3 linked regions of the Saccharomyces cerevisiae S288C genome follow. The protein of the gene in region 1 purifies or fractionates together with the protein of each later gene. This does not show direct contact. Each region holds a gene or a part of one and is shown on either strand. Other genes may lie near its edges. The genes, in order: TDH3, ENO1 and ENO2.

Region 1 (10,864 bases):
AATTTTTTCCTTCCCACGTCCGCGGGAATCTGTGTATATTACTGCATCTAGATATATGTTATCTTATCTTGGCGCGTACATTTAATTTTCAACGTATTCTATAAGAAATTGCGGGAGTTTTTTTCATGTAGATGATACTGACTGCACGCAAATATAGGCATGATTTATAGGCATGATTTGATGGCTGTACCGATAGGAACGCTAAGAGTAACTTCAGAATCGTTATCCTGGCGGAAAAAATTCATTTGTAAACTTTAAAAAAAAAAGCCAATATCCCCAAAATTATTAAGAGCGCCTCCATTATTAACTAAAATTTCACTCAGCATCCACAATGTATCAGGTATCTACTACAGATATTACATGTGGCGAAAAAGACAAGAACAATGCAATAGCGCATCAAGAAAAAACACAAAGCTTTCAATCAATGAATCGAAAATGTCATTAAAATAGTATATAAATTGAAACTAAGTCATAAAGCTATAAAAAGAAAATTTATTTAAATGCAAGATTTAAAGTAAATTCACTTAAGCCTTGGCAACGTGTTCAACCAAGTCGACAACTCTGGTAGAGTAACCGTATTCGTTGTCGTACCAGGAGACCAACTTGACGAACTTTGGAGACAATTGGATACCAGCGGAAGCATCGAAGATGGAAGAGTGAGAGTCACCCAAGAAGTCAGAGGAGACAACAGCGTCTTCGGTGTAACCCAAAACACCCTTCAACTTACCTTCAGCGGCAGCCTTAACAACCTTCTTGATTTCATCGTAGGTGGTTTCCTTGTTCAACTTGACAGTCAAGTCAACAACGGAGACATCGACGGTTGGGACTCTGAAAGCCATACCGGTCAACTTACCTTGCAATTCTGGCAAGACCTTACCGACAGCCTTAGCAGCACCGGTGGAGGATGGGATGATGTTACCGGAAGCGGTTCTACCACCTCTCCAGTCCTTGTGGGATGGACCGTCAACAGTCTTTTGAGTAGCAGTCAAAGAGTGGACAGTGGTCATCAAACCTTCTTCAATACCGAAAGCATCGTTGATAACCTTGGCCAATGGAGCCAAACAGTTGGTGGTACAAGAAGCGTTGGAAACAATCTTCAAGTCAGAAGTGTATTTTTCTTCGTTAACACCCATGACGAACATTGGGGCGGTGGAAGATGGAGCAGTGATAACAACCTTCTTGGCACCAGCGTCAATGTGCTTTTGAGCAGTGTCTAATTCCTTGAAAACACCAGTGGAGTCAATGGCGATGTCAACGTTGGAAGAACCCCATGGCAAGTTAGCTGGGTCTCTTTCTTGGTAAGTAGCAATCTTCTTACCATCGACAATGATGTGCTTGTCATCGTGGGAAACTTCACCAGCGTATCTACCGTGAGTGGAGTCGTACTTGAACATGTAAGCAGCGTAGTCGTTGGTGATGAATGGGTCGTTCAAAGCAACAACTTCGACGTTTGGTCTAGACAAAGCAATTCTCATGACCAATCTACCGATTCTACCGAAACCGTTAATAGCAACTCTAACCATTTTGTTTGTTTATGTGTGTTTATTCGAAACTAAGTTCTTGGTGTTTTAAAACTAAAAAAAAGACTAACTATAAAAGTAGAATTTAAGAAGTTTAAGAAATAGATTTACAGAATTACAATCAATACCTACCGTCTTTATATACTTATTAGTCAAGTAGGGGAATAATTTCAGGGAACTGGTTTCAACCTTTTTTTTCAGCTTTTTCCAAATCAGAGAGAGCAGAAGGTAATAGAAGGTGTAAGAAAATGAGATAGATACATGCGTGGGTCAATTGCCTTGTGTCATCATTTACTCCAGGCAGGTTGCATCACTCCATTGAGGTTGTGCCCGTTTTTTGCCTGTTTGTGCCCCTGTTCTCTGTAGTTGCGCTAAGAGAATGGACCTATGAACTGATGGTTGGTGAAGAAAACAATATTTTGGTGCTGGGATTCTTTTTTTTTCTGGATGCCAGCTTAAAAAGCGGGCTCCATTATATTTAGTGGATGCCAGGAATAAACTGTTCACCCAGACACCTACGATGTTATATATTCTGTGTAACCCGCCCCCTATTTTGGGCATGTACGGGTTACAGCAGAATTAAAAGGCTAATTTTTTGACTAAATAAAGTTAGGAAAATCACTACTATTAATTATTTACGTATTCTTTGAAATGGCAGTATTGATAATGATAAACTCGAACTGAAAAAGCGTGTTTTTTATTCAAAATGATTCTAACTCCCTTACGTAATCAAGGAATCTTTTTGCCTTGGCCTCCGCGTCATTAAACTTCTTGTTGTTGACGCTAACATTCAACGCTAGTATATATTCGTTTTTTTCAGGTAAGTTCTTTTCAACGGGTCTTACTGATGAGGCAGTCGCGTCTGAACCTGTTAAGAGGTCAAATATGTCTTCTTGACCGTACGTGTCTTGCATGTTATTAGCTTTGGGAATTTGCATCAAGTCATAGGAAAATTTAAATCTTGGCTCTCTTGGGCTCAAGGTGACAAGGTCCTCGAAAATAGGGTCAAAGTATTTCGAATTTGTGTCCATTAGTGGTGTTCCGTGTGAGAACTGGTAAGCTTCTTTCATGAAAGAGTTCAATGATTCACTCAGTTTGTCAAACGGAATAGAGGCGGGAGCATGGAACACTAATTGCTCTTCAAATTCTACAGGAGTAATCTTTGGCTTGTCGGCAGCTTTTGTTTGAGCTTGCTCGGCTATTTTTGGTTTGAGCTGTATAGGTTTAATGTTCGATAAATCGAGACGTTCGTTCTTCTTGATAAATTCTGTTACCTTGTTAACCGAATCTTGTGGTATTTTCCCTAGGTATGCTAGCACATCACCCTTTAATAGTCTACCGTTGGAACCAGATGGCGCAATTTCCTTCAAAGCCTTTTGTTTGGATATATTGTTCTCAGCCAGTAGTAATGACACGGATGGTAATAGCGTCTGTTCAAGATTGGCTTGGCTGCCGTCAACGGTTTTTATTGGTGTAACTGTGGCTTTTTTTAAATGTTGTTGTGTTGCTTCAGTACTATCTGCGGATGGCTTCTTAATTTCAATAGATTTCGCATTTGCGGTGTTGGCCTCTTGGGGTAACTTTATAGTAGCTAAATCATCATCAACATCAGCAATATAAGCAATAGGTTCACCAACATCAACATCTTTAGAGCCTTCATCTTTCAGGATCTTAGCTAGTTTACCATCGTCCAGTGCTTCCACATCAATTTGAGATTTATCTGTTTCCACTTCTAATATCACATCGCCCGCGCTGAATGGTTCGCCAACTTTATATTTCCAAGACACAATCCCCCCTTTCTCCATAGTAGGAGACATTGCAGGCATTGAAAATGTCTTTACAGCAAGTAATTTAGCTGATGCATGATAGTTGCATTTGGTTAAATATCTTGTACATGATTTTAAAGTGGAGACTTTGGAAATTGCACTTAGCATTTTTGAATTTTTCCCTCGAGATGATTTAACAATAACCTAGCTCTTTCAATGCTCTCTTATATTCTCACTGGAAAGCGCTAATTTGATTTGTCTCTCTCGTTGCTGGTCGCTCACCCTTTCATAAATTGTTTTTTACTCTTCATTTATTGATTTTACTTTTTGTCATTTTCCGAACGGGGAACAAAATGATGACTACTTGCTACAGTATACGAAACATACAAGGGCATTGTCATGTGCACGCATAATAACGGTGATATATATATATGTATGTATATTATGTGTCTGTGTTTGTGTGTACTTGTCAGGGCATGATAAATTATTCAAACATATTTTAGATGAGAGTCTTTTCCAGTTCGCTTAAGGGGACAATCTTGGAATTATAGCGATCCCAATTTTCATTATCCACATCGGATATGCTTTCCATTACATGCCATGGAAAATTGTCATTCAGAAATTTATCAAAAGGAACTGCAATTTTATTAGAGTCATATAACAATGACCACATGGCCTTATAACAACCACCAAGGGCACATGAGTTTGGTGTTTCTAGCCTAAAATTACCCTTTGTAGCACCAATGACTTGAGCAAACTTCTTCACAATAGCATCGTTTTTAGAAGCCCCACCTACAAAAAAAGTCCTTTCTGGCCTTTTATTTAGGTAGTCCCGCAGCGGAGATTCATCGTAATCAAACTTCACGATTGTATCTTCGTTCAGTCTCTGTTGTGAGCTTGCGTTTGAATCCGAAAGCAGGGGAGATATTCTTACCCTGCAACTTAAAGCCTGTGATTCTACAATATTTTTGGCATCGTGCCTCTTGTCTTTGAACTTGGCCACCTCTCTTTCAATCATACCCGTTTTTGGATTGAAGATAACCCTTTTGTTTATGGCTTTTACGCTAGGAACGATCTCCCCCAGAGGAAAATATACACCTAATTCATTTTCACTACTTTCTGAGTCATCTAGCACAGCTTGATTAAAAAGAGTCCAATCGTTAGTCTTCTCATAATTATTTTCCCGTTCTTTGTTTAACTCGTCTCTTATCCTCTCCCTTGCCAAAGAACCATTACAATAACAAATCATACCCATATAATGGTTTGGCAGAGTTGGATGAATGAAAAGATGATAGTTCGGAGAGGGGTGATACTTATCGGTGACCAGAAGAACTGTAGTACTTGTTCCTAGGGAAACGAGAACGTCATTCTTCCGCAGGGGTAAAGAACATATAGTGGCTAAATTATCCCCAGTCATGGGAGAGACCTTGCAGTTTGTATTGAAACCGTACTTCTCAATAAAATATTTACAGATGGTACCCGCTATCAAATTTTTCATGGGTGCTCTCATTAATTTTTGTCTGATAGTTTTATCCTTAGAAGAACTATCAATTAGATGTAGTAGCTCATCACTGAATTTTCTTTCACGTATATCATAAAGGTTCATACCACAGGCATCTGCCTCCTCTAATTCAACAAGATGGCCCACTAAGATAGAAGTCAAAAAATTAGACACTAAAGAAATGGTCTTTGTTTTTTCGTAAGCTTCTGGTTCTAATTGTGCAATTTTCAGAATTTGAGGACCAGTAAATCTAAAATGGGCTCTGGACCCTGTTAATTGAGCCATTTTTTCAGGCCCACCTATGCACTCTTCAAACTCTTGACATTGCTTTGCAGTACTGTGGTCTTGCCAATTGGGGGCGGTTTGCCTTGCAAATGCTACAGAGCTCACGTAGTGCAATAAATCTTTTTCCGGTTTCTTATTCAATTGCTCTAACAGAGATTCGGCTTGGGAGGACCAGTAGACAGACCCGTGCTGCTGGCAGGACCCTGAGACGGCCATAACTTTGTTCAATGGAAATTTAGCCTCGCGATATTTCGAGAGAACCAGATCTAGAGCCTCTAACCACATGGCTACGGGACATTCGATAGTGTCGCCGTGTATATAGACACCCTTCTTTGTGTGATAATGCGGAAGATCCTTTTCAAATTCCACTGTTTCTGAATGGACAATTTTTAGGTCCTGGTTAATGGCGAGACATTTCAGTTGTTGGGTCGAAAGATCAAACCCAAGATAGTATGAGTCTAAAGACATTGTGTTGGAAACCTCTCTTGTCTGTCTCTGAATTACTGAACACAACATTAAAGTACTAATCTCATCCTCCTTTTGTTTTTCTCGAGAGGGCCCCCTTATTCGTCCGCCTGAGATTGCATTGGCCGAATTGAAAAGTGACAGTTATGCACCTCAGCGGCTATTCCCTGCGTCGCTTGCTGAAGATTGAGGATTATAGGAAGTAGTAAGCTGGAAATGGTAATTTGTAAAAAGAAAATTTCTAATACTGTGACAATGTTATTAAATCGGGGTTGTTTTTGTTTGGGGCGGCCAGCGGAATAATTTGTTTTCAAGGACAGCAGAAGCTCAGAAGAACAAAATCTCCGTGATCTTTTAAACTTTTTTCCATTCTGATGGAATAATGGTCTTGATCCCCTAAATATTTCCTTTTTTATTGCAATTATGATAGAAATTAATAGTAGTCTATGCTGGATGATATATATATCTCTTTTGAGCTTGCTTCAAATTTTTTCCCGTTATAATGATGAGTGTTTTGCTTATTAAGGGTCTAGGACATTTCTATCAGTTTCTATACCAAAAGAAGAAAAAGTGGAGAATTGTTTGTTTATTTTAATATTTTGTTCTTTAGTTTTAAAAATTCAGAAGAGAAAAAAATTTTATTTGTCACAAGGAAATAAAACATAAACAAAAAAGAAAAATTAAGATTTGCAATTCTGCCGCTTAAGCAAAAGTAGATCATTCACTGGAATATATATATATAAACGCATTTATAATCTTGTAACGTGCACTCAATTTAGCTACGAAAGCCAACCAGCAAGGAACCTTTTATTTGAGTAGGTACATTTACATCTTCGGGTAACGCGGTGAAATTGAAAAATTTTAAGGCATTAATAATTGAAAAGCTAGAAGAAATGGATGAATGAATGACATTGCGAACCATTGTGCAATGAACATCATCCAAAAGAAAACATCATTTACACATATTTTCTTTCCAGGGTCCCACTGGTAAAATCTATTAACATATAAAAAGATTTACAAAAAAACTTTAGTGCCATAACTACAGCAGGATCATCATATGTCAAGACTAGAAATATACTCGCCAGAAGGGCTACGTCTCGATGGACGTCGATGGAATGAACTCCGCCGTTTTGAAAGTTCCATCAACACACATCCGCACGCTGCAGACGGTTCATCCTACATGGAACAAGGTAACAACAAAATTATCACTCTTGTTAAAGGTCCAAAAGAGCCAAGATTGAAATCTCAAATGGATACCTCAAAGGCTTTATTGAACGTATCGGTAAACATTACAAAATTCTCCAAATTCGAAAGAAGTAAATCAAGCCACAAGAATGAAAGGCGTGTTCTTGAGATACAAACCTCCCTGGTGAGGATGTTTGAGAAGAATGTCATGCTGAATATCTACCCCAGAACAGTTATCGATATCGAGATCCATGTCCTTGAGCAAGATGGCGGTATTATGGGATCTTTAATCAACGGTATTACCCTCGCTTTAATAGATGCCGGTATATCAATGTTCGATTACATAAGTGGTATATCCGTCGGGCTGTACGATACTACCCCATTATTAGATACCAATTCATTAGAAGAAAATGCTATGAGTACAGTGACACTAGGTGTGGTAGGGAAGTCAGAAAAACTTTCTCTTTTATTGGTGGAAGACAAAATTCCGTTAGATAGGTTAGAGAACGTTCTTGCCATCGGCATCGCAGGTGCTCATAGGGTAAGAGATTTGATGGATGAAGAACTGAGGAAACATGCTCAGAAAAGAGTCAGTAACGCCTCTGCTAGGTAGAATAAAAAACGCCATTAATTGCCACTGTTTATATAAAAGTACATAAAAAACAGTAAAATTGAAAATTGAACGCATTTACATTTTCGTGTTTCTACCGTAAAGCAAAACGCTTACAGTTTTTTCTTACCTATTGATGCGAATAAATCCTTTGGTTTCATAGAATGCTGGAAAACTTTTCTCCTTAAGTGCGTTACATTTTGGTTGACACTAGCAACCGTGTTAATGACAGTATGCTTCTTACTCAAATCGTCCGCGTTCGCATATGCTTCCCTAACGTGACTATGCTGCTTATACTCCTCAGCTATGAAATCCTTATCCTTATTAGAGGATGATTTTAGCGTATAATTTATCCATGTTTGTATCCCCGTATCATATTCATCTAGCTCACGCTTATAATTTCTCAACTGTTCTATCTTACCGGCGTGCGAAGTCTTACTGTTCAGTAGTTTATTCATATCTAATTTCGGTAAGTTATTCTGCTGCCCCAATTTCGCCATTTCTTCAGTACTGGGTTCATGGACGCTTGTCATTTCGCCTTGAGATACTGTTCTGTTTTCACTTTTGAAAGATGCACTGCGCGCTGCCAAATCATTGGCAGTATTGTTACTATTATCATTATCTGTTGTACTATTATCGTTTCCTGCATTTAATTGTTCCTGTGCGTCCATCGGTAGAGGTGGCAAATTCGATTGGTTACCAATCAAACCGGGAACATTATAAATCGTATTGTTGTCGTATATAGTCTTAGTGTCCCTGATTGTCTCCAAATCGTCATCTTCGCCTTTGGAAGGGAATGCATCCCAAGTACTCTCCATCTCTGAATAAGTCGATACAACACGTGGTTTCATACTAGCAGGTGTTAAATCTACTAGCTTCCCGTTAGAATCGATCACGTAACCTGGTGGCGCTTTCTTATTGGCTGTATCCTGTACGAACCCTGATCGTAAGGCCTCACTGTCCGGCTTCCAAGAATCAACATCAGTGGAGTCTTTAACTGAACTTTCTTCCAAAACTTTGTCTTCATTTATGTGGTCTTCCTCATCGCTGCCATCGCTGTTTTCCAATTCAGAACCGCTATTTGACAAATTGGTATTTTCAATGGTGTCTATTTGATTAGGTTGCAATGCTGAATCACCTTTATCATCATTACCAATCATTTTGGAGAAATAACCTGATTTGGGCGCCTTGAGACTGCCTTCATCTGAATCAGAGCTCATACCTTTTTCCTCCTCCTCTTCATCACTCGTAAGTAGAATGGAACCTTTTTCCCTATTAGAAAATTTATAGCTATCTGTATCTTCATTTTCGTCTTCTATGGATTCATTATCTTCGTTTTTGTCTTCTATGGATTCATTATCTTCATTATCTTCTTCTTCTGTCTCATTTGTCGAATATTTTATTGATTCGGTATACGACAATGCATCATCGTCAGTTGTATCAAGTTGTTTCGATTGCCGGTTAATATCAGCATGTTTATCACTAACCGAAGATCGATTATCATCATCACTACTACCACTGTTGCCTTCGTTGTTATCATCTTCTTCAGAGTCTGACGAATGCTGATAATCATTGAAAAAAGAATTTCGATATCCATTATCACTAGTTTTTGTTTCATTTGCTACGGGTTTCGGCTTTGCTACTTTATCTTGCCCACTAGATGTAGAGTTCCTATTCCTAATACTAGTCTTTTCTTCACTTTTTTCTTTCTTTTCCAAAGCTCCTGAGCTCTCGACTTCACCATCATCTTCTTGTTGTAAATTCTCCTCTTTCTCCGCAGGCAGAATATCTGCAAGGTAGCCTCTTTCGGAAACTTTAAACTCGTCGTCTTTCTGCTCAGAAACATCGCCATCACTACTCAAATGTTCATTTCCATTCCTTGTTGGCGTATTGAAAGTGGTATCAGCTTCATTAGTATCCATTGAAACCCCTAAGGAATGTGATTTTTCATCTTCTTCTACAGGAGATGATGAAGAGGGTACCGCTTCCCCTAATGGTGCTTCGTTTTGGATTTCGTCACAACTGTCTGAATCACGCCGAAAATCAGATGTTTGCCTAATTTCTGGTGTCATCTCCCTTGATATTTGCTCTATCAAATTGTCTAGGTCTTCGTTTACAGCCCTATTTGTATGTGGTGATTTTTTGTTTTCACTTGGACTTTTCAAAGATGCTGTCGACGAAAGATAATCTGATTTGGAGTGCTCGCTGGATTTTTTCGCTTGTAATTCCACAGACTCTCTTGAAGCCATAAGTTTAGGCACCCCATCTGAGAGATAGCCTACTTCCTTGTCACTAGGACTAATATCACTCTTACTGACGTTATTATCATTGCTGTCTTTATTTTCACCCGTATTTTCATCATGCTCACCATTAACATCTGTATAATTGAGCTTGGGTAAACTAGGCAAATTAGATATTTTTTGCTTGTGAATTTCTGAACCTTTTGTGCCATCCTCGGAAGAGTAGTCATATTCGTCACTACTGTCCCATCCAGCGCCGTCATAACTTGCTTGAGATGCGCTAACCCATCTATACGATTTCTTTCTACCGACCTGTTCAGTGCTCATAATAAATATCCGCTTTCCAGAAAAAGGGTAATGATCAAACAGTCCCTTTTAACTATAATGCAAGTTTTGTGTTTACCTTGTTAACCATGTATGAAAGTGGTATTTAGGAATACTTTTAAGTGCCTTACAGAATTCTTGGCATGAGAAAAACAAAATAGCTACCCGGAATGAAACACTAATGTGTCACCAAACAAACAAACGACGTTATATAATTGTTGTGATATTTGCATCTTCATCTTATGATGATGAGAATATAAATAATTTTTAATCGTATTAAGTGTATATATGAATAAGCTATTAACCCTACCCATTAATTTCCGGGCGGGTTGTTATTTTTATCAGTATTGGCCTCTGCCGGGCGGCTAGCACGCTGGGTAGCTGCTGCGACAGCGGCTTCTGCTGCTTGCATAGCATTTTTTTGCATTTTTTTACCTGCAAACTTCATACAAAATGGCATCAAGGATGTATTGAGGGCAACCCATGCCACGAGAATACCGTAATTTCTTCCCATTTTTCTTTTGGTTAAATTCAAAAAAATCACTTTATAGATATCCACGGCATTATGGATTGGCATTATGTAGCCGTACCTGTAAAATTCGTTGTTCAAAACCATTGGGTAGAATGAAGCAGAAATATTTAATATGATCCACGTCATCAACCAAATACTCAGGTATGGAGGGCAGTAAGCTATAACTAAGCTGAGAACGTTTTCATTGGCACCACCAACAGCCATCATTACCAACCACGTAGACATCCAATATACTACGAATCCTCCTCTGCCAAAGGCGGGGGTGAAATCGATCCTAAAAATTGCAGATACGGTACAGAATCCAATGGAAAGAAGAAAATAAGTTGCCCAGGAAATTAGAAGCCTGTAGATTAAAATATGCTTTGGCTTCAGAACTCTGGCCATTTCTCCGTGCAACTTACCATATAATGACAGTTGTAAAACGGTTAACAAAATA
Region 2 (3,808 bases), 120 kb from region 1:
GTTTAGACATTGGCTCTTCATTGAGCTTAGAACCCTTTTGGGCAGAAAGATATCCGTCGAACAACGTTCTATTAGGAATGGCGGATAAATTATTTAAATTATATCACACTAATTTTCCTCCTGTGGTAGCCCTAAGAACTTTTGGTTTGAATCTGACGAATAAGATCGGTCCAGTTAAGAATATGATCATTGACACATTAGGAGGAAATGAGAAATGAGAGGTATGTAAATAGAAATAGACTAGCTCCACTTTTAAGAATTATTTATGCAATTAAATACATGGGTGACCAAAAGAGCGGGCGGATACACGCGTCACCACAAGCAGAATAAAAGGTAAACCTGAAATTGTTTTAACATAAAATGAAAAATGCTTGTTTGCAACCCTATATAGAATCATAAAACATTCGTGACTATAAAATGAATAAACTAAACTATTCTAAGAAAATGAAATAAATGACAAAAAAACGTGTTTTTTGGACTAGAAGGCTTAATCAAAAGCTTTATAATTTGTCACCGTGGTGGAAGTTTTCACCAGCGAAAACAGCGTTGTCACCTAATTCTTCTTCGATTCTCAACAATTGGTTCAATTTAGCCAATCTTTCGGATCTAGCTGGAGCACCAGTCTTGATTTGACCAGTTCTCAAACCGACGACCAAGTCAGCAATGAAAGTGTCTTCAGTTTCACCAGATCTGTGGGAAACCATAACACCCCAACCGGCAGCGAAAGAGTCTTGAGCAGCCTTGATGGATTCAGACAAGGTACCGATTTGGTTGACCTTCAACAACAAAGCGTCGGCAGCCTTCTTTTCGATAGCGGTAGCAATTCTCTTTGGGTTGGTGACAGTCAAGTCATCAGCAACAATTTGAATACCAGCGGTCTTGAAGAAGTGAGACCAAGCTTCCCAGTCATCTTCAGCAAATGGATCTTCGATGGAGACAATTGGGTATCTCTTCATCAAGGAGTGGTACAAGTCAGCCAATTGAGGACCAGTCAACCACTTGGATTTGTCAGAGTTTGGATTCTTGAAGTCCAAGTCGTACTTACCGTCCTTGAAGAATTCAGAGGAAGCACAGTCCAAACCGATCTTGATCTTACCGTCGTGACCAGCAGCCTTGATAGCGTCAACAATCAAGTCCAAAGCTTCTTCAGCAGTTTGAATGTTTGGAGCAACACCACCTTCGTCACCGACGTTACCGGCAGAAGCACCGTATCTCTTCTTGGTCAAAGACTTCAAGTTGTGGTAAACTTCGGAACCAATTCTCAAAGCTTCAGCGAAGGTCTTAGCACCAGTTGGAGCAATCATAAATTCTTGCAAAGCCAAAGCACCACCAGCGTGGGAACCACCGTTCAAAACGTTCAAGAATGGAACTGGCAAAACGTATGGAGAGGTCTTGGACTTAGACAAGTCAGCCAAGTGCTTGTATAATGGGACATTCTTTTCAGCAGCGGCAGCTCTGGAAGCAGCCAAAGAAACACCCAAGATAGCGTTAGCACCCAACTTGGATTTGTTGGCAGTACCGTCCAAAGAAATCAAGAAGTCATCGACGGCCTTTTGGTCCTTAACATCAATGTTAGCCTTAACGAAAGCTGGAGCAATGACATCGTTGACGTTCTTAACAGCGTGCAAAACACCCTTACCCATCCACTTGGATTTGTCACCATCTCTCATTTCCAAAGCTTCGTGGACACCGGTAGAAGCACCAGATGGGACAATGGATCTGAAAACACCCTTTTCGGTGGTTAATTCGACTTCGACGGTTGGGTTACCACGGGAGTCGTAGACGGATCTAGCGTAAACTTTAGAGACAGCCATTTTGATTTAGTGTTTGTGTGTTGATAAGCAGTTGCTTGGTTTTTTATGAAAAATAGCTAGAAGGAATAAGGGATTACAAGAGAGATGTTACAAGAAAGAAGTAAAATAAATTTGATTAATATTGCCATTATCAAAAGCTATTTATATGTTGAAATCGTGGAGATCATGTGTGCCAGAAAAGGCCACAGTTTCCGGGGAGAGGCATACCTTGAGGTGGCTAGGAATCACGGAGACCTCTTGACTTGCAGGGTAGGCTAGCTAGAATTAAGTGAGGTGACAAGGTTTCCATACAGTTTTGACCTTGAGACGTTGCTACTTACGATTTGCAGTATGCAAGTCTCATGCTGCAAACAAAAGAGGACCGCTCAGGTAATCGCTCAATTAGTGGACGTTATCAGGGGCGGGAGAGGCGAAAGTGGTTTTTGGTGGTGTAAGTAAAGGTCGTCCAAATATGCAGGTGTTTGGGTGCTATCCTAGTGGAAGCTCGGATCAGTAGATAACCCGCCTAGAAGCGGTATTTTTCTTTTTTTTTCTTCCTTCTTTTTCGTCATTATTTCAAACGCTTTTGCGTCAAGTAATGAATATCTGGCGGTTCCGCGGTAATGCGACAATTTGTGATATGCACTCTTAAAACCCCGCCACGATGATCGCACGTGCCGGCATTTATAGACGACTTTTCTGGTTGTCCCGCTTCACGGCACATGCATGCATCAATGACCGAATTCAGGTTGCTACTAACCATTGTGTTGTGTTATTGCTGTGCATGAGGTGCTCAAGTGCCCGCGGCATCTGACTAGTGGTAACTCTAGACGGCTTCGATGCAGAGAGTTCCTCAAAATTTTTCTTTTCAATTGTTTGCCTGGTTTCCGCGGCGTATATCAGTTTTTGGCGATATGGTAACGCGATACTCTACGGCACCTTCACGGTAGATGTCTTTTTTAAAAGTGACTGTTAATTCCAGGATTGAAAGGAAGTGTCGAATAGTATAGTATGCTTTCTACACTTATAGTACACTACTAGGTGTATCAGATCAATTGGCCCTTGATAAAAAGCGCTGAGGAAGGAAGGATTCCTATTTTGACATAGCTTTCAATATAGGGCCATTTATATCCATGTTATATATACAATATACTTATGTGTCAATTATTAGAATTGTTGAAGACATTTGTAGGTGAGAAAGTTTCTTGTTTGTCGAGAAGAATTTGAGTCATAATCTTTATATCAAATAACTCTGGATAAGTGCTGTGCATTTCAATAACATGTTGTAATTACTATATATTAATGAAGATAAAAGCTCAGGTTCATCGCATGTGGCGCTATAATGCTTTTTATTTGATAATGTTCCACTTGTATTTTTTTTTTTTTTTAAAAAAATTATCTTTTTTTATAAAGTATGTGAGAAAGAAATAACAAAACATGAACTTTTTTCAAGAATAATGTAGCCCAAAAAGTAAAAAAGGACACTTTTGCAACTACTGCTGAAGACTTTTTACTGAAATGAATTGACTATCAAACATATTATAAGCCAAGCATAGATGAAAGTACGCCGATTTTTTATTAAGCGTGCAAACATGAATGTAGCCCAAGTCCGTAAGGATAATTTAGTGCTTAAATTAAATAAATCACTATTCACGAAAATATTTTTGAAATTTCATTATACAGGGTTATCATAAACCAAGACCGGTGGCAAAAGAGTAACCTAGGAAATTGGACAAGAGAGCGCTATAACTATAGAATACAAGTCAATAAGAACATAAATTCCAATTGTCTAATATAACTAGAAAGGATGTTCTTAACTAGAAGTGAATATGATCGTGGTGTAAGCACATTTTCCCCAGAAGGGAGGTTATTCCAAGTTGAGTATTCTTTGGAGGCCATCAAATTAGGATCTACAGCAATTGGTATTGCCACGAAAGAAGGTGTTGTACTAGGTGTGGAGAAACGTGCCACCTCACCACTATTAGAATCTGATTCTATTGAGAAAATCGTGGAGA
Region 3 (11,176 bases), on another chromosome or scaffold:
ACCTAATCCTATGGTCAATCGCATGATGATACCACTAATTGTCCATGACGAGGAGCCCTTTGGCTCAAAAAACGAATAAATACCCAACAACAATAGGCATCGTACAGTTTCGATATCTTGTAAAATTATAACACTACGAAATTTTTTCATGGCCAAAAAAGCCAAATGTTCACTCAGACACTCTTCGTCCTGAGAAACCATACCAGCACGCTGTAAAGTTGTACAACCAATAGCCATGATCATGTATACTTTGAAAACAAAGCTGTCAGGGTAGTTTTTGTTGTCATATAACCTTTCGAAATCAGTAATTGTCGCGGCGTCATTTAGGAATGCTATTTTATCAATCATGGGAAATAGACGGTGATTGTGTTTGAAGTATGCGGCAATGAACCTGTCCAGTAAGGATCTATCAATTGACTTGAACGAGCCATCCTCTCTGACCCACGATGTTGTTCTACCACCTTTAAAGCAACAGGACATAGTTTCAAATTCGATCGAGGATGCATCAACCGGCACAGAATCGAATTTCCCATTGGGGGCTGAATTGTTTGCATATGGGGTAAGACTCAATTGCGGTGTGTTGGTACTGCCATTGTTATTATCGTGGTTAACATTACTGCCGTTATCCCCGTTGCTAGTATTGCGATTGTTGTTTTGTAGCGGTACGGCTTGGGCGTTCGCAGGCACATGACTGCTAATTAGTGGTGAAGGCGTGTTATATCCTCCGAATGATGAAGTTGTCGAACTTTGCTGCACGGAAGCTGGCAATGATCGGGAAGGAATCATGGAATTTTCATTAGAGGATAAGTGCGAAGAAGGATTAGAATTATCATTCAGCGATGTTAGCACCGAAATTAGCGATGAGACACCTTCGCTAGAATTTGGACTTGCCCCCATGACAAGATTTATTGGATCTGACGGTTTTAGCTGTTTCATCTTATGTGCATCATCGTTTTCGTAAGGCGAAAACCCGGGAGTTATAGCGCCATTTGCGGATAGCGGACTAGAAGAGTTTGGCATGCTCTTAGTGCTCAATGGGCTTTTTCCTACCTTCTTGTTCCTTTTCACTGGAACATATTCCCCTCGTAGCATAGCATCCGCTAACTCCTTCTTGGTACGTCTTGGGGCTCTACCTGGATATGAACAGTGTGCCCCATTTTTATCGCAGTTTGCACATGTCGGTATTTGTTTACCACACTTCTTCTTTAATTTTCTGCATCGTGCGCACGAATACAATTCAGTAGTACGTTGTGATCTCCCGCCTTGATGTGCAAAATTGGGACCATCCATGTCCTTCTTTTACACCTTTGTATTAATTTTTTAGCCCTGTACGCTCGGATATTATACCTCTTGTTACGTAGAGGAAATAACCGAACCTTGCCAAGAACTTCATTGTCGGTGTTTTATTTCGGAAGCTTATTTTTCTTTTAGTATTTCCGCTCGCCCTATTTTTCCCGTGGTATCGGCCTTGTCGTTATATTCCCTGCGGGTGATGGCGCCATGAATTAAATGCGACGCTATATAATAAGCTAGTAAAACAAGATATATTATGTGAAATTAAGTAGACAATCTGTCGGAGAATCTTCTTGGCATATATAGTATAATCGAGTGTAGTTTTCTTCCCGTTTTCCGTTGAGATTGAAGCCTTTTTTTTGTTTCAATTCCTGATGTTCATCAAAATAGAAGGTTGCAAGGAACGCATTAAATAATTCGTGAAATTTACAACTTTTGCATCAACAATGGAGTAAGCCACTCTTCATTCTTGAGTGTATTACCAGCATTAGTAGTGTTCTAAATGATTCAACAGTGCTAAGCGCTTCTTGTTTTTTTTTTGCACTTTTGCTTTTATTCGGGTTGAAATCGTCGTACACATTACCACAAGTACCATTGTTTCAATGATGAATCCGTTTATATATGCGTAGCGAGTAGATATAGAATCTGTTAACATAACTTCATGCCTTCTTGTCTTAGAACATTCCTATACGCGAGAACCGCGCCGCGAAGAAGAAGCCACAGAAACATAAACGTATCCTCAAGAAGTCTTCGAGCTTTAAGTCGTTTCTCTTAGTCTCGCTTTCACAGTGTTACTGCTATCATTTCTTCACTCCTGGAGGCAAACGGATATTCTATAGAAGAAATTGGATGAGGACAAAATGTGTTGTTGCAACTTTAACTACGTGAGAAAGGTGAAAGTAAGGTATTAGAAGAGAGGACACAAGAGTTATAATATCAGTAACTTTCGAAGTGGGTATCTCACATGGTTTTGATTGGGGTTCTCGATTGTTTTGCCCCCCTGGTTTATTCATTTTTCATAACAATGCCAAGAACCGTTTTTAGGTTTGATTTCTCAGTTCCCTTGCGTTTCTTTCTCTGGAAATTTCATGATAGAATTACAAATTTGGATATGCTTGTTAGTATATGATACAATGATGGAGGTGAAAATCAGATGGTCCTATAAATAGTTTTTCGAAATCCATCGATGGTAGGGAACAACAAGAACAAGCACCCTCCTGTTTTTTTAAAACCCTTTCTGAAAAACACACAATTGGCTGCCCTTTCTATGTAGTGAAGAATCCTTTTGGAATATGAGCGGTACTTTAGGTGAACCTTTCAGCAATTGAAAGGATGCTGATCTTCTACTTTGAGTATTGGTGGGATTTAGGATTGCTTGATGTGTTGTTTTTACTAAATGTTGGTGGATGTTGCATGCTGTCTGGCGCATGAATCATTTGGTATTGTGTTTGAGCCGGGGGATTCATACGAGGAGCTGGCAAAATATAAATGCCATCTAGGTTCTTGTTGGTTGTGGAGGTGGTTATGTTTACATTTGGAGGATTAATAGAATCTGTGACTGGTTTTGGTTGTCGGTAATCATGCACAAGTATATGGTGTACTGGGGGCATCATTGTTGGGGCGATAGGCGCCTTAGAGTGATTGCATTCAGGACCCGACCTCGAAGAGTATGGATCGATATTTTGGTATGGTATTGGGCTCAATGTATTGGAGGAGTATATCACTGAAGGCGACACGCCACGCCGTTCATAAGGTGCTGCAGTAGGTTGTTGCGGGAGAGTATTGTATGTATTGCAGAAAATCATAGGTTGTGAGACCGTACGTCTCAATCCAGGCTGATAGTTAGGATTGTAAACACCAATTGGTTGTGGCTGGTGCTGCATATACGGGAGAGGTAATTTATTCTGTTCATCTATGGGTAAGAGATATTGTTGCTGTTGTCGGTGCTGCTGTTGGTGCATTTCTCGAGGAGCGTTATTGAAGGTGGTTAAAGGTAACTGAACTGCGGTCCTAACTGGAATATTTCCAGGATGGTTGTTATAATTGCTCAAGAGATCACAATAGCTCGGAGAAGATGATAAAGACCTGCGCGTTTTATAATTATGAGCTTTGGTTCTGCCTCTCTCATTATTTTTAGACGGGTTAGATCTGCCATTTCCTACAGCAACTTTTTGTAAAGCATCTAATAGTTTCTGTGAAGGTCGAAATTTATGGAAGAAAGGATTTTCTGAAGGTCTCCTCAAACTTCCTTGATGAATATCCTTTTCCGTATAGTACGCAATAAGATGAAATGTTTCCAGCTTAGTGCTGTCGGTGGGATCCATATTGAATTTTAGAGAAAATGTTTTTTTCAGTAGTCCAGTATAAAAATACTTCCTATGAGCCCTCTCGAAGATATTATACTCAGGTACATTATGCAGCGGTAGATCGTGCGTGGAACCCAGCCTATTATACTCTCTATATACGAGAAATTTGCCTGAAATTCTTGAAGGAGACCAAGAAAAACCATCTGTCCATCTTTTGATGCCGGATTTCTCTTCGTTGAAAACAAAAATGTTTCCGGGGTTGACTAATTCAACCTTTTCTGCATCATATGGCCTCCGTTCGATGCATCTCAAATTTCCATTGAATACGCCCTGGAAAACAAGGGCTAGATCTTGCTCGTCGTCGATGTACCCATAACAGGTAGGGCTGATATCCATCATTCTTACGCTTACTCGTCGATCTCCTTTTCCTATCTATTGTTTGATTAATTATCTTAATTCGTGGTTCCCTTTTTTCTCGCTTTATTTGTTTGTTTTGTTGAAGAAGGGCTTACAAGAATGTACGTATTAAATAATAATTCATACAAATAAACAGGGAATGATACATAGTAGTTCTCCCGCAGCAGCTACGTATGAATTACCCGCCTACCCGGTACTATAAAGAAAGAATAAGTGGGCGTCGATTATGAAGATTTACTAACTGCAATTATCATTTTTTTGATTTTCCTCAGTCCCTTAGGTGCGTTTTTGTGTTAATGCCTATTTTTTTTTTCTAGGCTTTCTTCTTCACTTCCTCTTTCCTCTTGAATTTTGAGGAATATACGACCGAGAAAAAGACAGACTACTTAAAAAGTTGCCAGAGTGATTAAAGTTCCGGGAACAAGGCTAAAATACGTTTACAACATATTCTTCCTTTTTTTTCCACATAAAAAGGTTAATAGTCATAGTCATATGTTAGCGTGATTTCAACTTAAAATTAGAGATTATTAGATAATTTTTTTTTAAATGACGGCCAAGAAAGTGAAAGTCTAAAAGGAACGTTTATCGCTTAATTTCTCTCTGCCTCAGATTCATACGTTGTTAAGATCTTTAAAAGGATGGCCTTTGCAGGATACTGAGGTTTATGCTGGCGCGCCTGTGCGGATTTTCCAGATTCAAAAAGAAAGTTTTCTTTTTTTTTTACATGGGAACTGCGTAGCCGCGAAGCACTGCAGGCCTTTCAGAGCAATTTTTGGCGCTGCCTTTTAAAAACTTACATTAAGGTTCGCTATTGCCGAAACGGAAGAGGCGGAAATTTAAGTATTCGTTAATTTTACGGTGGCGGTACGGTATATTCTGCGTAAGCAATCTGCGGACGGCCGGATTATTAATCAATGTTTGAAAAAAAAAGATAGCAGAAGTGAAGATTTCTTATTTTAACAGCGATAAGGTATATACATGAGGGAAACGAAATATTAAGCGGCACAATATGTGTTTTTTCTATACAAGTACATTCCTTTTTACGTTAAGTATGTGGCGCCGGAAGGAAGTATGGTGCTTTTTTTTTCTTTAGGGCTTGTGCGTGTTCCGCTAGAAGCACATTTCTTTCTTCTTTGTCTGTATAACTACTGTTTCTTAGATCGATCAGTCTATCATCCCATACAACTGGTTCGAAATGACCGACCCTACGTGGAATGCTATTCAGTAGTTCCTGTAGTTCTGCATAGTATTCCAGGTCCTTTCCCTTTGGGAAGTTGTGCGTTCCGCAGGCATTAGAGTCGAAAGTTGTAGTTATCGGTAAGCTTTTACAGAATACTTCGACCATAATAGCCGCCTGTAGTTCCGACAACGGGAACGGGATGACCAACTGCGGGGTCAAGATAAAGGACAGCGTAGGATCTTTTACATAGATCATGTGCTCCCACAAATTGTGCAGATTGACAGACGAGTGCTTGTCGCCAGTAACACCCTCACCTAGCACTTCCAGTCTAACGGAGGGCTCTATAAATGGAAAGCTGTAATAATAGCCTGTGGCGAAAATAATGTAGTCTATATTCTGAAGTACTCTTCCATCAGATAAAGTAACTGAACGATTTTTCCAATCGGCACTGTCTATTGTTTGGACAGTCTCGATTAACTTGGCCTTCAGTTGATTGCTCGCAGGCTCTTTTATACTATTATATACTTTCTTTGCAACGGTAGTTAGTTGGTTGGCAATATCTTGGCCGGAACTGCCGTTTCCCACCACAATAACGACTTTTTCACGGGCAAACTCGCAGTTTTTGAAATCCTTAGAATGAAAGGCGCCCTTATTGTCGAACCATAGATCGAGACCTGCGATATTAGTTGGTAGTTTAGGGACACTGTAGTGACCAGACGCAACAATAACGAAGTCAAAATCCGATTTAGTAGTCCTTAGTTCGTCTTTAGATGTTATCTCCCATTGAGAGTTCTTCTTCTTTAAGTAGGTAACTTCGGTGCTGAAATGGATGCTGATAGCATCTTTGTTGGCAATGAACGTTTTGTAATAGGCTTTCAAGTATTCCCAAATGTTTCTTCGAGACGGATATAAAGGGACGTTTTCCTCGAAGGGAAAGCCGCTAAACTGCATTAACTTCTTTGATATATTGGTTTCCAAATGGTCATACATGACCCTCCCATCACTTTTTTGTTCTGGATAATGCCAGACACCGCCAATATCGTAATCCTTTACAAATATTTCTATTTCAAAATTTGGAAGACTTTGCGAGAAAACTCTTGCAGCTGCCAACCCTCCTGGCCCCCCACCTATGATTGCCAATCTTTTTTTGTCATTCACTGTCATGCCTAGTTACTTCTTGTTATTTCTCGCTTCCTGCTTGAATTTTCTGTATTATTGTATTTTCGACTTGTATAAAAACAGTGGCCCATTTAAATACAGTCCCAAATAACGACTGCGTTTTTGCAGTGGCATTTATCCTTGATATGAGGCTACAGGATTATCTTGCATAATGGCTTTTCTCGGCAAAAAGATGTCTGGCGCTTCCTATGTAAAGGTAATATCATGTGATTAAGAGTGAAAAGAGGAATTTAAAAGGTAGAAAAGGGTTCATGGAATCTTTCATAAAGCAGAACATTAATACTTGCCGCGTTGAAATGAGGTGCGATTTCGTGTTGTGGACGGGACATTAAATTCATCACTTATATAATTAAATATAACGTTATAGTAGATCGTCTCAAAACGGTATAACAACCCGCGCCCACCCTTAAATAGTATTACTTTTGTTCAAGATTAGCTCGAATGGTCGCTGGCAAACTGTTGAAGAACTAGATCGTTTCATGATTAACATCTTGGCGACGCAGAAGTTAATGATATAGAAATAGTGGACTATTTTGATTACTGAGGCTGTAGCCAATAAACGATAACATAAAGGGGGGGATATATAAACTTGTGTCAAAGACTAGTAACGTACGAGTGCTAAATATTATACATGTAATGTTAACGTAGTTTATCATTATACTCAGTGGGAACAAATAAAGGGAAGGGTATGAATGAGGAAGAAATACGAAAAATCCCGGATAAAAACAAAATAGATACAAATAGTATCAAATTTGTAATATTTGTCACCATCTTAATGGCAGGCGAGGGAGCTGTCATCTATCTCAGGACTATACGAAGTACACCAGCTGTAATTACCCCATATTGCCCCACACACGACAGCTAACATTAACCAACCATTATAAGTCATGAATACAAGCATGAGCATGAATGAGAATCCCACTTGCAAACCATATAGAATACTATTGGACACTTTGTCGGCTTGGTTGATCTTGGTCAGAGATCTATTTGGTAACAATACTCTCTGGGATAATTGTCTCTTATGGACACAGTACTTTAAGTACTCATAGAGGTAGGCTAGACCAAAAATTGCTAAACAACTTAAAATCAGTCCAGGCAGGGTCTTGATATGCCACCATTCAAAGACGACACACGTATTCTTGTATGACCACGAAAATAGCATATTCATCGAACAGGTATCATCTCCATCTCCCATATGCATATCACTGTGGTCGTGGCCCGCATTTCCTTCCATCTTGTGATTCATGCTATCCATCTTTTTTGAGTATCCAATTAACGAAGACGTTACCAGCTGATTGAAGGTTCTCAAAGTGACTGTACTCCATGTTTTCTTATCATCCATGTAGTTATTTTTCAAACTGCAAATTCAAGAAAAAGCCACGCGTGTGCACCTTTTTTTTCCCCTTCCAGTGCATTATGCAATAGACAGCACGAGTCTTTGAAAAAGTAACTTATAAAACTGTATCAATTTTTAAACCTAAATAGATTCATAAACTATTCGTTAATATAAAGTGTTCTAAACTATGATGAAAAAATAAGCAGAAAAGACTAATAATTCTTAGTTAAAAGCACTTTACAACTTGTCACCGTGGTGGAAGTTTTCACCGGCGTAGACAGCCTTGTCACCCAATTCTTCTTCGATTCTCAACAATTGGTTCAACTTAGCCAATCTTTCGGATCTAGCTGGAGCACCAGTCTTGATTTGACCAGTTCTCAAACCGACAACCAAGTCAGCAATGAAAGTGTCTTCAGTTTCACCAGATCTGTGGGAAACCATAACACCCCAGTTGGCAGCGAAAGAGTCTTGAGCAGCCTTGATGGATTCAGACAAGGTACCGATTTGGTTAACCTTCAACAACAAAGCGTCAGCAGCCTTCTTTTCGATGGCGGTAGCAATTCTAGCTGGGTTGGTGACAGTCAAGTCATCAGCAACAATTTGGATACCAGCGGTCTTGAAGAAGTGAGACCAAGCTTCCCAGTCATCTTCAGCAAATGGATCTTCGATGGAGACAATTGGGTATCTCTTCATCAAGGAGTGGTACATGTCAGCTAATTCGACACCAGTCAACCACTTGGATTTGTCAGATTCTGGGTTCTTGAAGTCCAAGTCGTACTTACCGTCCTTGAAGAATTCAGAGGAAGCACAGTCCAAACCGATCTTGACCTTACCGTCGTGACCAGCAGCCTTGATAGCGTCAACAATCAAGTCCAAAGCTTCTTCAGCGGTTTGAATGTTTGGAGCAACACCACCTTCGTCACCGACGTTACCGGCAGAAGCACCGTATCTCTTCTTGGTCAAAGACTTCAAGTTGTGGTAAACTTCGGAACCAATTCTCATGGCTTCAGCGAAGGTCTTAGCACCAGTTGGAGCAATCATGAATTCTTGCAAAGCCAAAGCACCACCAGCGTGGGAACCACCGTTCAAAACGTTCAAGAATGGAACTGGCAAAACGTATGGAGAGGTCTTGGACTTAGACAAGTCAGCCAAATGTTGGTACAATGGGACGTTCTTTTCAGCAGCAGCGGCTCTAGCAGCGGCCATGGAGACACCCAAGATAGCGTTAGCACCCAACTTGGACTTGTTGGCGGTACCATCCAAAGACAACAAGAAGTCATCGACGGCCTTTTGGTCCTTAACATCTAGGTTGGCCTTGACGAAAGCAGCAGCAATGACGTTGTTGACGTTGTTGACAGCGTTCATAACACCCTTACCCATCCACTTGGATTTGTCTTCATCTCTCATTTCCAAAGCTTCGTGGACACCGGTGGAGGCACCAGATGGAACAATGGATCTGAAAACACCCTTTTCGGTGGTTAATTCGACTTCGACGGTTGGGTTACCACGGGAGTCGTAGACGGATCTAGCGTAAACTTTAGAGACAGCCATTATTATTGTATGTTATAGTATTAGTTGCTTGGTGTTATGAAAGAAACTAAGAAAAGAAAAATAAAATAAAAATAAAAGATTGAGACAAGGGAAGAAAAGATACAAAATAAGAATTAATTACAATTGCGTTTGCTATAAATACGTTTTTAACAATCAACTCTGGTAGGAAGATAATGCTTTTTTTTTTTATATATGCTTGGTGCCACTTGTCACATACAATTCTACAACCTTCGACAAAAATCCAAATGATAGTAAGATCAAAGCCAGAAAGCAATGGAGAAAAAAAATTAATGAACCACGATGAACCAAATGATCAATACAACCAAAGAAACTACCCTAGTGAGGTGTATGCTGACTTGGTATCACACTTCATGAATTTTGCATATGGCAAAGTCCACGAAAGTGGGCTTCAGAAAAAAGGCGTGCGGTGTGTAGATGTATCAATTAGTGGATGCCAGTTTTGGAACGGGATTCCACTTTCCGCAAGTTGGTGCACGTCGTTAGTGACATAACGCCGCGTTCATCTTTGGGAAGAAGCAGATGCTGAGCGAGGAGGTACTATAGAGTAAAGAACCCTTTCTATACCCGCAGCGTCGACACTTGAACTATCATAAAAGTCGAATTTTTCAGTACTTAACTCTTGAGTAAAGTTTATGAGACACTTCCGAAAAATGCTGGACGCGTTGCTAATGTATTCAATCAGCTTCTGAATTAATTCCAGGGCGGCATCTTCTTGGTAACCAACATCTTCCTGACCGCCATTGTTTGTACGATAGCCTTCGTTTAGTGTTTTCATCATCCCGCTTTTGTGTTTCTCATATAGTACGGGGTCCAGTTGACATAATTTTGCTCTCATAGATTTGATGAACTTGCAAAACTTATATACAATGTCAAATATTTGTAACTGTAGTGGAATCAAGTCAGACAAGCAACGATTTGTCATTATATTTGTTAATCCACCTTCTAGCTCATTTTGGATGGCAACGGCAAGAGTAGGATTTCTGTAGCACTTTTCTAATGAGTATACCTCTTTATCAATTACGTTTTGGTTGAAATATTCCATGATGGTTTTAATGAAGTGGTTCATCTTAGCATGCAGCACTCTCGTTGCCCTTACTATCCTCCTCTTCACAGTGTGCGAATAGCCTCTGTATTTCCAGCTGGGTGTTTTGTTTAAGTCCATCCAAGTCTCATCCAAAAGCCTTGAGTGGTATTGTAAAACTAGTTGGTAGCGCAGGATTATTTGGTATTTTATCATGCATGTCCTACTAATAATAATATTCAATGGATAAGGTATGTTGATGTCAAATTTTAAATGATAAATTGCGCTTTTTGGAGTATATAGTTCTAGATTGGATCCATGGTAGGCTCCCGTTCGTTCTTTGCTTAATTCATCAAAAAGAATGGCATTCATATTCTTGAAATTATTCGCGTGCATCAATGGGTCGCTGTCGTCATTTGCTGAGTTATTCTCAGGTACTTCTGGATAAATTTGGAGGTAGTGCGATAAGACTTGTGGAAGTGTTTCTGTATCGAACTGTATCATCAGGAGTTGCCTCATCAGGTTGTTTGGATTTTCGGATTGTCTCTCTAACTCAAAATTTTGTAGCAGCTTGTCATAGTTTGCATTATTATCATTCCTGTAGTGTTTGGTCAACTCACCCATATTTTTTGTTAGAAACTTTAAAACATTATGACCAGATTGATACCCAAGAAAAATTTGTTGCAAATGTTTTAATACATTGATCAAATCGTAACCTTGAAAAAATAGCTTTAAAAATATTTCATTGGCTCTGCTGTAACATTTATCCACGTAAAGTTCAAGATTAGAACCCTCCATTAAGTCAGCGAAATCATTGATTTCTTGAATGGTTATATCACTGCTATTAGAAGGTATGGTGGGTATTTGTAAGC

What was found.
Region 2: the proteins of TDH3 (region 1) and ENO1 purify together in Saccharomyces cerevisiae (affinity purification with western blotting; 2 studies listed by BioGRID, with this or other methods). This does not show direct contact.
Region 3: the proteins of TDH3 (region 1) and ENO2 purify together in Saccharomyces cerevisiae (affinity purification with mass spectrometry; 2 studies listed by BioGRID, with this or other methods). This does not show direct contact.

What each region holds. Positions count from the first base shown.
Region 1 is NC_001139.9:882,288-893,151, forward strand, and holds TDH3 (glyceraldehyde-3-phosphate dehydrogenase (phosphorylating) TDH3), read right to left. Parts: upstream 1,524-10,864; coding exon 525-1,523; downstream 1-524. Other genes in the region: PDX1 (Pdx1p), read right to left, coding at 2,222-3,454; XKS1 (xylulokinase), read right to left, coding at 3,786-5,588; exosome non-catalytic core subunit SKI6, read left to right, coding at 6,595-7,335; FYV8 (Fyv8p), read right to left, coding at 7,446-9,899; SNG1 (Sng1p), read right to left, coding at 10,210-10,864. UniProt on the Saccharomyces cerevisiae protein: Glyceraldehyde-3-phosphate dehydrogenase (GAPDH) involved in glycolysis and gluconeogenesis. Catalyzes the reaction of glyceraldehyde-3-phosphate to 1,3 bis-phosphoglycerate.
Region 2 is NC_001139.9:998,933-1,002,740, reverse strand, and holds ENO1 (phosphopyruvate hydratase ENO1), read right to left. Parts: upstream 1,815-3,808; coding exon 501-1,814; downstream 1-500. Other genes in the region: putative N,N-dimethylaniline monooxygenase COQ6, read left to right, coding at 1-218; PUP2 (proteasome core particle subunit alpha 5), read left to right, coding at 3,601-3,808.
Region 3 is NC_001140.6:449,413-460,588, reverse strand, and holds ENO2 (phosphopyruvate hydratase ENO2), read right to left. Parts: upstream 9,263-11,176; coding exon 7,949-9,262; downstream 1-7,948. Other genes in the region: STB5 (Stb5p), read right to left, coding at 1-1,290; ROF1 (Rof1p), read right to left, coding at 2,637-3,998; FMO1 (N,N-dimethylaniline monooxygenase), read right to left, coding at 5,062-6,360; YHR175W-A (uncharacterized protein), read right to left, coding at 6,882-7,031; CTR2 (low-affinity Cu transporter), read right to left, coding at 7,148-7,717; YHR173C (uncharacterized protein), read left to right, coding at 9,436-9,774; gamma-tubulin-complex subunit SPC97, read right to left, coding at 9,783-11,176.